3 linked regions of the Callithrix jacchus genome follow. The protein of the gene in region 1 interacts with the protein of each later gene in a biochemical or structural test. Links are inferred from orthologs where the notes say so. Each region holds a gene or a part of one and is shown on either strand. Other genes may lie near its edges.

What was found. The genes of interacting proteins can lie anywhere in the genome.
Region 2: the proteins of RAB6A (region 1) and BICD1 form a complex in vitro, tested with the Homo sapiens proteins (3 studies listed by BioGRID). The link is inferred for Callithrix jacchus from reciprocal best matches to the Homo sapiens genes RAB6A and BICD1.
Region 3: the proteins of RAB6A (region 1) and KIF20A form a complex in vitro, tested with the Homo sapiens proteins (2 studies listed by BioGRID). The link is inferred for Callithrix jacchus from reciprocal best matches to the Homo sapiens genes RAB6A and KIF20A.

Annotation. Positions count from the first base shown.
Region 1 is NC_133511.1:67,212,006-67,216,442, forward strand, and holds the start of RAB6A (ras-related protein Rab-6A), read left to right. Parts: upstream 1-1,612; 5' UTR 1,613-2,060; coding exon 2,061-2,130; intron 2,131-4,437. UniProt on the Homo sapiens protein: The small GTPases Rab are key regulators of intracellular membrane trafficking, from the formation of transport vesicles to their fusion with membranes.
Region 2 is NC_133510.1:39,163,163-39,166,812, reverse strand, and holds part of BICD1 (protein bicaudal D homolog 1), read left to right. Parts: intron 1-1,495; coding exon 1,496-2,590; intron 2,591-3,650. UniProt on the Homo sapiens protein: Regulates coat complex coatomer protein I (COPI)-independent Golgi-endoplasmic reticulum transport by recruiting the dynein-dynactin motor complex.
Region 3 is NC_133503.1:36,593,345-36,596,596, forward strand, and holds the end of KIF20A (kinesin-like protein KIF20A), read left to right. Parts: coding exon 1-41; intron 42-190; coding exon 191-293; intron 294-601; coding exon 602-800; intron 801-1,056; coding exon 1,057-1,148; intron 1,149-1,371; coding exon 1,372-1,509; intron 1,510-2,157; coding exon 2,158-2,475; 3' UTR 2,476-2,685; downstream 2,686-3,252. UniProt on the Homo sapiens protein: Mitotic kinesin required for chromosome passenger complex (CPC)-mediated cytokinesis. Following phosphorylation by PLK1, involved in recruitment of PLK1 to the central spindle. Interacts with guanosine triphosphate (GTP)-bound forms of RAB6A and RAB6B.

The DNA of each region.
Region 1 (4,437 bases):
TTCAGGAAACATAATGAAAGCTTGGTACCCATCAGAAGGAAAATAGCTACTCACTTTTGTTTGCATAAGCTTTTTAAAAAGTTTCTTTGTTTAAACTGTTCTTTGTATGTGCCAGGGTCTGGATTAATGGTGAAGAGGACTCTATTAGACCTGACAAACTGCTTGTAAAATCAAATGTCCATGCCACAAGTTAGGTTTTTACCATTTTTCTTTAGATGCATATTCTACCTGCACGTGTCTGGCAGAGGAAACAGAAGGGAGTAAATTTTGATAGTGAGTGTTTGAGGATAGAGCTGTTGTCTTGATAGGCTAGAACAGATGATATTTTAAGAACTTCAGTTCCTCCCCGTGATTTATTCTAGGTCAGCAATTCATCCTTGGGTCTGAGAAGGCACTTTTTTGATCCTGTCATTTCTACAGCTAAGCAAATAACTACCCAGTAATGAGAAAATGTACATAAATGTTTTTGTGAATTATATAAGATACTATATACAAATGTAAGGACTTTTTTTTTCTTCACTTGGCAATTTTTTTTTTTTTTTTTTTTTTTTTTTTTTTTTTTTAAGACAGGGACTTGTTCTGTAGCCCAGATTTCAGTGTAGTGGTCACATACTACAGACTCCAAATCCTGGACTCAAGCAATCCTTCTGCCTCAGCTTCCTGAGTAGCTGGAACTACAGGCGTGCACCACGACATTCGGCTAATTATTTTATTTTTTGTAGAGATAGTGTTTTGCTTCGTTCCCCAGCCTGGTCTCGAATTCCTGGGCTCAAGCAATTCTATCGCCTCGGCCTCCCAAAATGCTGGGATTACAGGCGTGAGCCATCGCGCCAGGCAGCTTTATGGATTTTGCAAGTCATTTTCTACCTCTAGGCTTTGGTTTCCTCATCTGCAAAATTGGGAGGCCCTGATTCTGACAGTTATAAAATTCCTGGAAGCAATGGAAAAGAATGTTATTTAGTACGATGCCGTGTGAGGAATTATGATAAGGTGGAGAAGGTGGGGTGTGTGCAGGGGTGAAGGACAGATCTGAGGACTGTGGGGCCGGCTGAGGGTTCGGGAAAGAGGCTCCTATTACAAATCTTATGGCTATAGGACCCACTCACACTTTTTGAGGTATCATTCCACCTTAGTCCCGGCCCCGCCTCAGCCTCACCTTTCTTTCGCTTCCGCCCCATCTCTTCCCCTCCCCTTCACTCACTTCTTTTTCCCTCTCCTCTGGCTGAGAAGTGCCACACTTCGTATGGCCGCCACCGTGCTCCGCTTTCCATTTCTCGAGGGCTGCGCGCGCTCTCATGCCGCACCTCACTCGCGTGTCGGCCCGCCCTCAGCCCCTTCCGATTGGCTTAATATGTAAGTGACGTAAGGGCTTCATCTACCCGCTAACTTATCCCTGGTTTGCCCCGCCTCCTCCTGGCTTCTGATGCGAGTGGAAACCTAACCTGCCCCGCCGCCGCCTCACGGGAGGAAGGCGTCGAAACCAGGAAGGCGATGGCGATGGCGATGGCGGTGGCGGTGGCGCGCGCGCACGCACGCACGCACGCACGCACGCACGCACGCCAGCGGCCGGCGGGGCAGCAGGCTCGCGCCCGGGCTCGCCCCGCGCCGCGCCAGAGGCTCGCGCACTCAGCAGGTTGGGCTGCGGCGGCGGCGGCAGCTGTGGAAGCTGAGGTGCTGCGCGTGAGAGGTCCCAGACACGTCTGCGGTTCCGGCTCCGCCACCTTCCGCCACTCTCACCCAGGTCTCGGAGCCGGGTGCTGAAGGAGGGAACGGCCCTAGCCTTGGGAAGCCAGAGCACACCCCTGGCTCCTGCTGACACCGCCCTCCTTCCCTTCCCAGCCGCGGGCCTCGCTCAGTGCTAGGCGACTCTGCGGGGAGGCGGCGGCTGCCAGTCTGTGGAGAGTCCTGCTGCCCTCCAGCCCTGCTCCTCCGTCGGGCCCTGCAGGGGCCGAGAGATCTCGGCGCCCGCCCTTCCGCTCGCCTTTTTCGTCAGCGGGTTGGAGCATCGTCGGTCCGGGAGGTCTCTGGGCTGAGGCGGCGGCAGCTCCTCTGGTTCCACCATGTCCGCAGGAGGAGACTTCGGGAATCCACTGAGGAAATTCAAGCTGGTGTTCCTGGGGGAGCAAAGCGGTGAGTGCGTGGCTCCCCCACTCCTGGCAGCTGGCCGCAGCGTCCCCGCACCGCCCCCGGTGCGGCCCTTCCGTCCGCGGAGGCTTCCTGCTCGCCTCGCGTCCGCGCTCGTTGCCACCGCAGCCCTTCCCGAAGTGCCCGCCGGTGCCATCAGCCCTCCGCCTGGATCCGTCGGTCGAGTTTTTACCCTCTTCCCCGGGCTCTTCGATCGTCTCCGTTCTCCGCAGGCCGGCCATCTCCGGTCGATCTGCCCTCCCTCCGCAGCCCTCACCCCGCCCAGCCTCTTGTCCATCCCTTTCTTCCTCCGGTCTCCGCCGTCTCCCCTACCCCGGCCTTCTTTCTTGAGCCCCACCCTTATTCTTTGCCCTTTTCCCAGTTCCTCGGCTCTGTGAGGCCCATTCAGGGAAGCTCCACTCCTGAGAGCGGGCCCTCTTCAACCTTGGCCAAGGAGGGTGGGATCTGGGCGTTGTTTTCCCCAGAGGCTTGGCTCTGAGAAGTACTGATGTCGTGGAAGGTGGGAAGGGGGGTGGTCGTAGAAAAAAAATATTACATGGTTTTCACCTTAGTGGGAAATTAGTCTGGAGGAAAACATCTGAATTGGAGGCGACTTGAGCATGGGGTAGTTGGGGGTGAAAGGGGTAGTGTCGGCAGAAGAGATTTTTGCCCCTTAGGTTACATTGGGCTGTGGCTTGTCGGAAAACCTCATTTTGTTTTCTTGACTTTCATCACTGACAATTCTTTTGGCAGTGTTGATTTTTCAGTCTCTGCCAGATGCTATGTCATGATCATTTTACTTGGAATTTTTCTCATCTCACCTCCCCTTTTTCTCGTTTCAACGTGAAGCAGCGTTTGAGTCTCATGGTGGTACAAATGGGAATTACTGGGGAAATGTTAATTATTCATTTCTTCTTGAGTATTTTCCAATGATAAATATATTGAGGATTCATGAGAGAGAAGACTTGGAATAACAAACATCTTTGTTTTCTCGGATTTCCTTTGGAAAATGGAGTACAGTAGGAATAGACTCATCATCTAGTTATCTGAATTCGATTTACATACGATTTGGGCTAAATGATTCTTTTATGCTTAATATTTCGTACTGTCTGATGAGTGAAATTGTTATGTCATTTACCTGGTCAGGTTATGTTATCACTGTACTTTTGTATTAGATACAGGATTCTAATTTTGTGATTGTTATTTCTACGATTACTTCGTGTAGTAATTCCAGTTTTCTGCTGTAGTATGCAAACTTGACACTCGACAATTTAGAGATGATTACCCTTCTTTGTTTTTCTCACACTTTTCATGATCATCTTTAAAATTCAGACATTGAGAGATTAGTTCTGAGTCATCAAACATTGAATTCCTACTATGTGTTTAGGTGAGGTTATAGAAAACATTAGTTATTTGTTTCGACTGGAAAGCATGTAAGTGATATAAATTCATAGATTTTATTACTACTTTGAACTACTTATTCTAATTCGTATGCCATGACAGGTTAATACTCTCGAAAAATTGCCTCCAGTTAGAACTAGGAAATAATTTTTCTTCTTTTATATGTAGATTATCCTCCCCTCCTCCCTTTTGGGAAAAAAATCCAATCTCCCTCCGTTTTGCTTATATATTTTCCTGGAGTAAGTATAAACTTGTGTCTTTAGGTGAGTAACTTGGTAGAACCTATGGAGTTGATTCTGGTCCAGCTATTATATGTCAACTTCAGGATACTTCTCAAAGATAGAGTTTTTTGGTCATTATTGATAAAAAGGATCCAAAGTGCTTATTGTGCATTCTAGGGATATTATTGTCTTCCTTAATGTTGTGATGCGCAGCTGTTTAGTTTGCATGAAAAACCCATTAATCTCCCTGTCTAAAAAGATTTTAGCATGAATGGAGAGCTTAATTTCCTATCTTCAGGTTTCCTTTGAATTTCTTATTTGTATATGTTCTAATTCATAATGAAGAGTTTTATGGCTTCTGATTTCTTACCTTGTTTAAGCCTCTACTACTCTTCCCCCTCCATTACTAAAGCTTGGTTAGATTTTTTTGTAATAGACTTTATTTTTTTGAACAGTTTTAGACTTACAGAAAAATTGAAAAGATTGCGCAGAGTTCCCATATACCCACACATCTAGTTTCCCCTCTTATTAACATCTTGCATTAGTATGGCACATTTGTTACAATTAATGAATTAATATTGGTATGTTATTATTAACTTAAGTTCATAGTTTATTCAGATTTTTAGTTTTAACCCAATGTACTTTTTCTGTTTCAGCATTCAATTCATGATATGAAGTTAATTATCTTTTG
Region 2 (3,650 bases), on another chromosome or scaffold:
CCTTCCTTTAGATCTAAAGACATGGGCTAGGCGTGGTGGCTCACGCTTGTAATCCCAGCACTTTTGGAGGCCAAGGTGGGCAAATCACCAGGTTAGGAGATCGAGACCATCCTGGCCATGGTGAAACCCTGTCTCTACTAAAATACAAAAAATCAGCCAGTTGTGGTGGCGCACGCCTGTAGTCCTAGCTACGCAGTAGGCTGAGGCAGGGGAATCGCTTGAACCCAGAAGATGGAGGTTGAAGTGAGCCGAGATCATGCCACTGCACTCCAGCCTGGTGACAGAGCAAGACTCTGTTTAAAAAAAAAAAAAAAATTGACACTGAAATTTTATATATGTAGTGATTTCATATATGTAGTGATGTAGTGATTTTATGTACACTGCAATTTCATGTATACCTATGTTTAATGAGACAGTGTTTTTGGACACTTCAGTGTTTTTCATCACACAGTAATACCATCTATATAAATGTATCACATTATTTAAATTAATTACTAACATTTCAACTTCCTATTTTGGACTGAAGGAATTGAATTGATTTATAAATTGTTCTTTTAGCCCTAAAATTCTGTATGTATTCTCTGCCTTTTATATTAAAAAGTATTAAAAGCAGGGCACAGTGGCTCATGCCTGTAATCCCAGTGCTTTGGGAGGCTGAGGCAGGGGGATAGCATGAGCCTAGGAGTTCAAGACCAGCATGGATAACATAGCAAGACCCTTTCTCTATACACACACAAAATTAGTCAGGTCCACATGTGGCATGCACCTGTGGTCCCAGCTACTCAGGACACTGAGGTGGAAGGATCACTTGAGCCTGGGAGGCAGAGGCTACAGTAAGCCATGATTGTGCCACTACGTTCCATTCCAGTGTGGGTGACAGAGTGACACCCTGTCTTAAAAAAAGACAAAAGCTATCAATGTACTGCATGTTTATTTTAGGGACTAAATGCTTATTTTTAAGGGGATGGTTAAAGTACTCAGCATTATTTAGTAAGTTAAAGCCTTAGGTTTTAAACCTGATTTGGAGTTGAGCTCTGGGAAGGAAAGGATGATTGATTCATAGGCACCCTGAGACAGTCACGTACGATTTGAAAAGCAGATGTACTCTAAGGCTATCAAAATAAAAATAACACCAAGTACTATGCTTATCTCTTAAAGTCATGTTGTTTTCTGCAAGGTGTTAAAAATGAAAATAAGATTGTTCTAATAACATTGAAGTTTCATGAGTATATGTGTATGATACAAGAGAGATTGATGGGTAACACAAGTGAGATTGTTGGGTGACTACTTGCAGTATAATTTTTTTTAAATTATGTACTTTTAGATTGATTTACCAGACTGCTGAAATAAAAAACACTCCAGTTTAATCTGAAATAATGGGAACGTTGGCTCTGCTGCCGTGATTTTAAATGTATACATGCCCAATTGTGACTGGATTAAGTTCATCATTGGCATTGCATTGAAGTCATTCAGAGACTCTCTTTTGCCATTGCAGGTAGAGCGGGAAAAGGCCATTCTTTTGGCCAACCTACAGGAGTCACAGACACAGCTGGAACACACCAAGGGGGCACTGACAGAGCAGCATGAGCGGGTGCACCGGCTCACAGAGCATGTCAATGCCATGAGGGGCCTGCAAAGCAGCAAGGAGCTCAAGGCCGAGCTGGACGGGGAGAAGGGCCGGGACTCAGGGGAGGAGGCCCATGACTATGAGGTGGACATCAATGGCTTAGAGATCCTTGAATGCAAATACAGGGTGGCAGTAACTGAGGTGATTGATCTGAAAGCAGAAATTAAGGCCTTAAAGGAGAAATATAATAAATCTGTAGAAAACTACACTGACGAGAAGGCCAAGTATGAGAGTAAAATCCAGATGTATGATGAGCAGGTGACAAACCTTGAGAAGACCACCAAGGAGAGTGGTGAGAAGATGGCCCACATGGAGAAGGAGTTGCAAAAGATGACCAGCATAGCCAACGAAAATCACAATACCCTTAATACGGCCCAGGATGAGTTAGTGACGTTCAGTGAGGAGTTAGCTCAGCTTTACCACCACGTGTGTCTGTGTAATAATGAAACTCCCAACAGGGTCATGCTGGATTACTATAGGCAGAGCAGAGTCACCCGCAGTGGCAGCCTGAAAGGGCCTGATGATCCCAGAGGACTTTTGTCCCCACGATTAGCCAGGCGGGGTGTGTCATCCCCAGTAGAAACAAGGACCTCATCTGAACCAGTTGCAAAGGAAAACACAGAGGCCAGCAAAGAACCAAGCCCAACTAAGACCCCCACAATCTCTCCTGTTATTACTGCCCCACCGTCATCTCCAGTATTGGATACAAGTGACATCCGCAAAGAGCCAATGAATATCTACAACCTTAATGCCATAATCCGGGACCAAATCAAGCATCTGCAGAAAGCTGTGGACCGGTCCTTGCAACTGTCTCGCCAAAGAGCAGCGGCTCGGGAGCTAGCCCCCATGATTGATAAAGACAAAGAAGCCTTAATGGAAGAGATCCTCAAGCTCAAGTCCCTGCTGAGCACCAAACGAGAGCAGATCGCCACGTTGAGGGCAGTACTGAAAGCCAACAAGCAGGTAATCTCATTGTGCAGGTGAAAGCTTGCTAGTCAAAGCTTTCTTAGCTAATTCATTCCCTAATTTTATTGAGTGTCCAGTATCATCAAGATGACAGTTCAGATTCTTTGTCAGTGGAGAAATAAAACCATGTCCCAGTGCCAGATCAGAATGTCATAATAATTATTATGTTTAAATGAGTGAGTGGCTGAAATATCCATGCCCAGCTAGGTAGAGGCAGAGGTGAGGAGGTTAAAGCAGCAACACAGAGGACCCAGATGCCTTTCTGCAGATAGAGAAAGGCAGTTCAGGTGGTCCTGGGCTGAAGCCTGGCAGTGAGTGACTGCGGAAACAGGAGATGGAGGTTGGCAGAATAAGCTGACAAGGCAGGTTATACCAGCTAGGGAGATACAGCAAGAAAGACAGACAGCCTGCAGGCAGCTGGAGCAAACAAAAAGAAATCTGGGTGCAGACAGTGAAGAAGATCTGATGGTCAGTAACTGGAACCCAGCTTTGGACCTGGAGGTTCAGATTCAAGACTCAGTTTCTAGGGGTATAGCAAGATTATTATTTTTTTATTATTATTATTGTTTTGAGACAGTCTCGCTCTTGCCCAGGCTGGAGTGCAGTGGCGCCATCTCGGCTCACTGCCACCACCACCTCCAGAGTTCAAGCGATTCTCCTGCCTCAGCCTCCCAAGTATCAGGGATTACAGGCATGTGCCACCATGCCTGGATAATTTTTTGTATTTTCAGTAGAGACAGGATTTCGCCATACTGTCTAGGCTGGTCTTGAACTCCTGACCTCAAGTGATCTGCCCGCCTCAGCCTCCCAAAGTGTTGGGATTACAGGCGTGAGCCACCGCACCCTGCTAAGTATAGCAAGATTAAAAGGAGTGTTTTGTTTTTCATCCCAAACTTAGAGAAACAAAAGTGCTAAATAAATGAGCAAGTAAGGGATGAAGGGCAAGGCAGCTGTGAGGAACTGAGTGCGAAACAAAGCCAGGCAGGTCGTTAACCAACTAATTAAATAGTTTGGGGCCACTTTAGCAAGCAAATGAGAGAGCAAGAGAGACAAAGTG
Region 3 (3,252 bases), on another chromosome or scaffold:
GAGATGGTAGAACAGATGCAACAGCGGGAACAGTGGTGCAGGTACTAGCTGAGTGATCCCTCTTGCTCTGTCACCTGGGACAGAGGGTAGGAAGTAAGGAGTTGGGTGGAGTTGTGCCTCAAGATCTGTTCCCCAAGTTCACTCCTCAGAATCTTCACTCACTTTCTCTTTTCTCCTCTGTTTCTGACAGTGAACATTTGGACACCCAAAAGGAACTATTGGAGGAAATGTATGAAGAAAAACTAAATATCCTTAAGGAGTCACTGACAAGTTTTTACCAAGAAGAGATTCAGGTGAGTTGCCCTGAGCCAGCTCCAACTAACTGCTCAGATTTCCATCACTAGCTTGCCTGAAGTAGAGATTTTGTAAACTACTCCAGTAAGGGCAGGAATATATTTTCTCTATTCCTCTTAGTGCTTTGGGTTCAATCTATGTTTGGTGAATTGATTAAGGGTTTAGTTGGCCAGGAAATTGTATTAAGTGCTAACAACAGGTTTTCAAGGGATCAGTGTCACAAGTGCTTTGTTTGTCTGTTCAGTCATCTGCCTCGGCAATATTTTTCTGGCTCTGCACAGAATTGTGCTCTCTGCTTCCCTCTTAGGAGCGAGATGAAAAGATTGAAGAGCTAGAAGCTCTCTTGCAGGAAGCCAGACAACAGTCGGTGGCCCAACAGCAATCAGGGTCTGAATTGTCCCTACGGCGGTCACAAAGGTTGGCAGCTTCTGCCTCCACACAGCAGCTTCAGGAGGTTAAAGCTAAATTACAGCAGTGCAAGGCAGAGCTAAACTCCACCACTGAAGGTGAGGAAAGAGACAGGCAGGAAACATAACAGTGGTTCAGGGACGAGCTGTTACTCAAACCCAGGCCTTCTGACTCTTGCTCTAACATAATTTCCTAAACTGCAAGCTACAGCCCCCCTGACATTTTAGTCTAGGACGCACATAGCCTCACTTTTGATATTTGCTACAAGCTACTCTTAACTCAGTTGAAGAGATTGGGCCAAGGCTAAAAAAAAACCCCACATATTTTATAAAGTTTCCCGTTTCCTTCCCTCAGAGTTGCATAAGTATCAGAAAATGTTAGAACCGCCACCCTCAGCCAAGCCCTTCACCATTGATGTGGACAAGAAGTTAGAAGAGGGCCAGAAGGTAATTACCTTTCTCTGTTTACCATACTCTTACCTAAGGCAATTTCCCACATCCAACACTCTTATCACTGGTTCAGGGGAAGACAAGATGCTGGAGAGTGGCTATTTCACTCAGCTCACTACCCTTTCTAATTTTACTTCTCTTCAAATGGCTACCTGACCCCTCCAGATTATTATAGTGGTTGCTCTTGCCCACAATCTGATTCCTACTTCCCCTTTTTCAGAATATAAGGCTGCTGCGGACAGAGCTTCAGAAACTTGGTGAGTCTCTCCAATCAGCAGAGAGAGCTTGTTGCCACAGCACTGGGGCAGGAAAACTTCGTCAAGCCTTGACCACTTGTGATGACATCTTAATAAAACAGGTTAGGGCAAACTACCCACTTCTCTCCTCCTAGCCCACTCCAGTGTATATGTGAGAAAGGAAAGGGGACCAGAAGAAAAAGGTAAAGATTTTTAGGCTGAACTTAGAGTGACAGCAGTATATTTGCAAAATAAAAATAACTATTTTTTTGTTAAGCATTTACTAAGGACCAGGAACTATGCTAAGTAATTTATAGGCATTTTCTGTCACAACCACCTTAGGGAGGAGTTACTGTTATATTTCATCTAAAAAACCATTGTTTTATGTACTACTAAGAAAAAAAACTAACAATTTAGCTATGACATTTCTCATCAGTAAGATGCATCCTGGTTCCAGAGATATTAAAACTGTCTATCTTAAACTAAGCTCAACATTTAATTTGATATCTAGAGACTACGGTGCTTAGAAATTAAATTTACTCAAGCTCATACCACCTTATGGGTTAGAAGATGTCCTATTCAGCACTGCTTATATTTTGGTCTCAGAAAATGCCCCCTTATCTAGTTATAAGCTCTGACCTTAAAGAGTTTTAATCTTTAAAGAAACAGTCATTAATAACTGTTAGTAATGGGTGGTTATGTATTAGCCCTGTTGTTTCTCTAATCTACCAGACAAAAGTGTTTTTTATAACTTTATTGATCTTCCTTAGGACCAGACTCTGGCTGAACTGCAGAACAACATGGTGCTAGTCAAACTGGACCTTCGGAAGAAGGCAGCATGTATTGCTGAGCAGTATCATACGGTGCTAAAACTCCAAGGCCAGGTTTCTGCCAAAAAGCGCCTTGGTAACAACCAGGAAAACCAGCAACCAAACCAACCGCCCCCAGGGAAGAAACCATTTCTTCGAAATTTACTTCCCCGGACACCAACCTGCCAAAGCTCAACAGACTGCAGCCCTTATGCCCGGATCCTACGCTCACGGCGCTCCCCTTTACTCAAATCCGGGCCTTTTGGCAAAAAGTACTAAGGCTGTGGGGAAAGAGAAGAGCAGTCATGGCCCTGAGGTGGGTCAGCTACTCTTCTGAAGAAATAGGTCCCTTTTAAGCTTTACCATATATCAGGTTTTTTCCCACTTTTTGTATTATAATCACCTATGTAATCTCATTTTTTTTTTTTTTTACTTATACGGTTTCTATGCACACACAAAAAAGTTATATTAAAGATATTATTGTTCACATTTTTTATTGAATTCCAAATGTAGCAAAACCATTAAAACAAATTATAAAGGCGACAGAAAAATTGAGAATCAAACATCATTGTGGACCATGGGGAACCTTGAAAAAGCATGGCAGTGGAGACTAGTAACTAGTATACAGCTCGCCTAAGAAGGCTTAGTAAGAAATGAATTCAAGTAGTATTAGATATTCTAAACCTTCCTTAATATAAGATGAAGTGTCATATGTTAGGAGGTAAAAAGGTAACACAAATTTCTGGGAATAAGAATGAAGTCTGGACCCTGAGCTCAGAATGATCCATAGCATCTACTGTACAAATTCATTACAGCAGACATAGCATATTACCTCCTGCTGCATACATATGCACAGGCCTGAAACTCCAAGAGCACCACAAGAATGATTTCCTTTATCTCATCTAGATAAAGGCTGAAAAAATGTATTCTGTTGCAGATGGGAGGGAAAAAATAATAGACAATTACATTGAAAATTCATTAAAACAGATCAGCTTGAAGTGAGTTTATTCTTGTAGAGTCACAAACATTATTTCCAAATGTCTGTGAAATTATCTA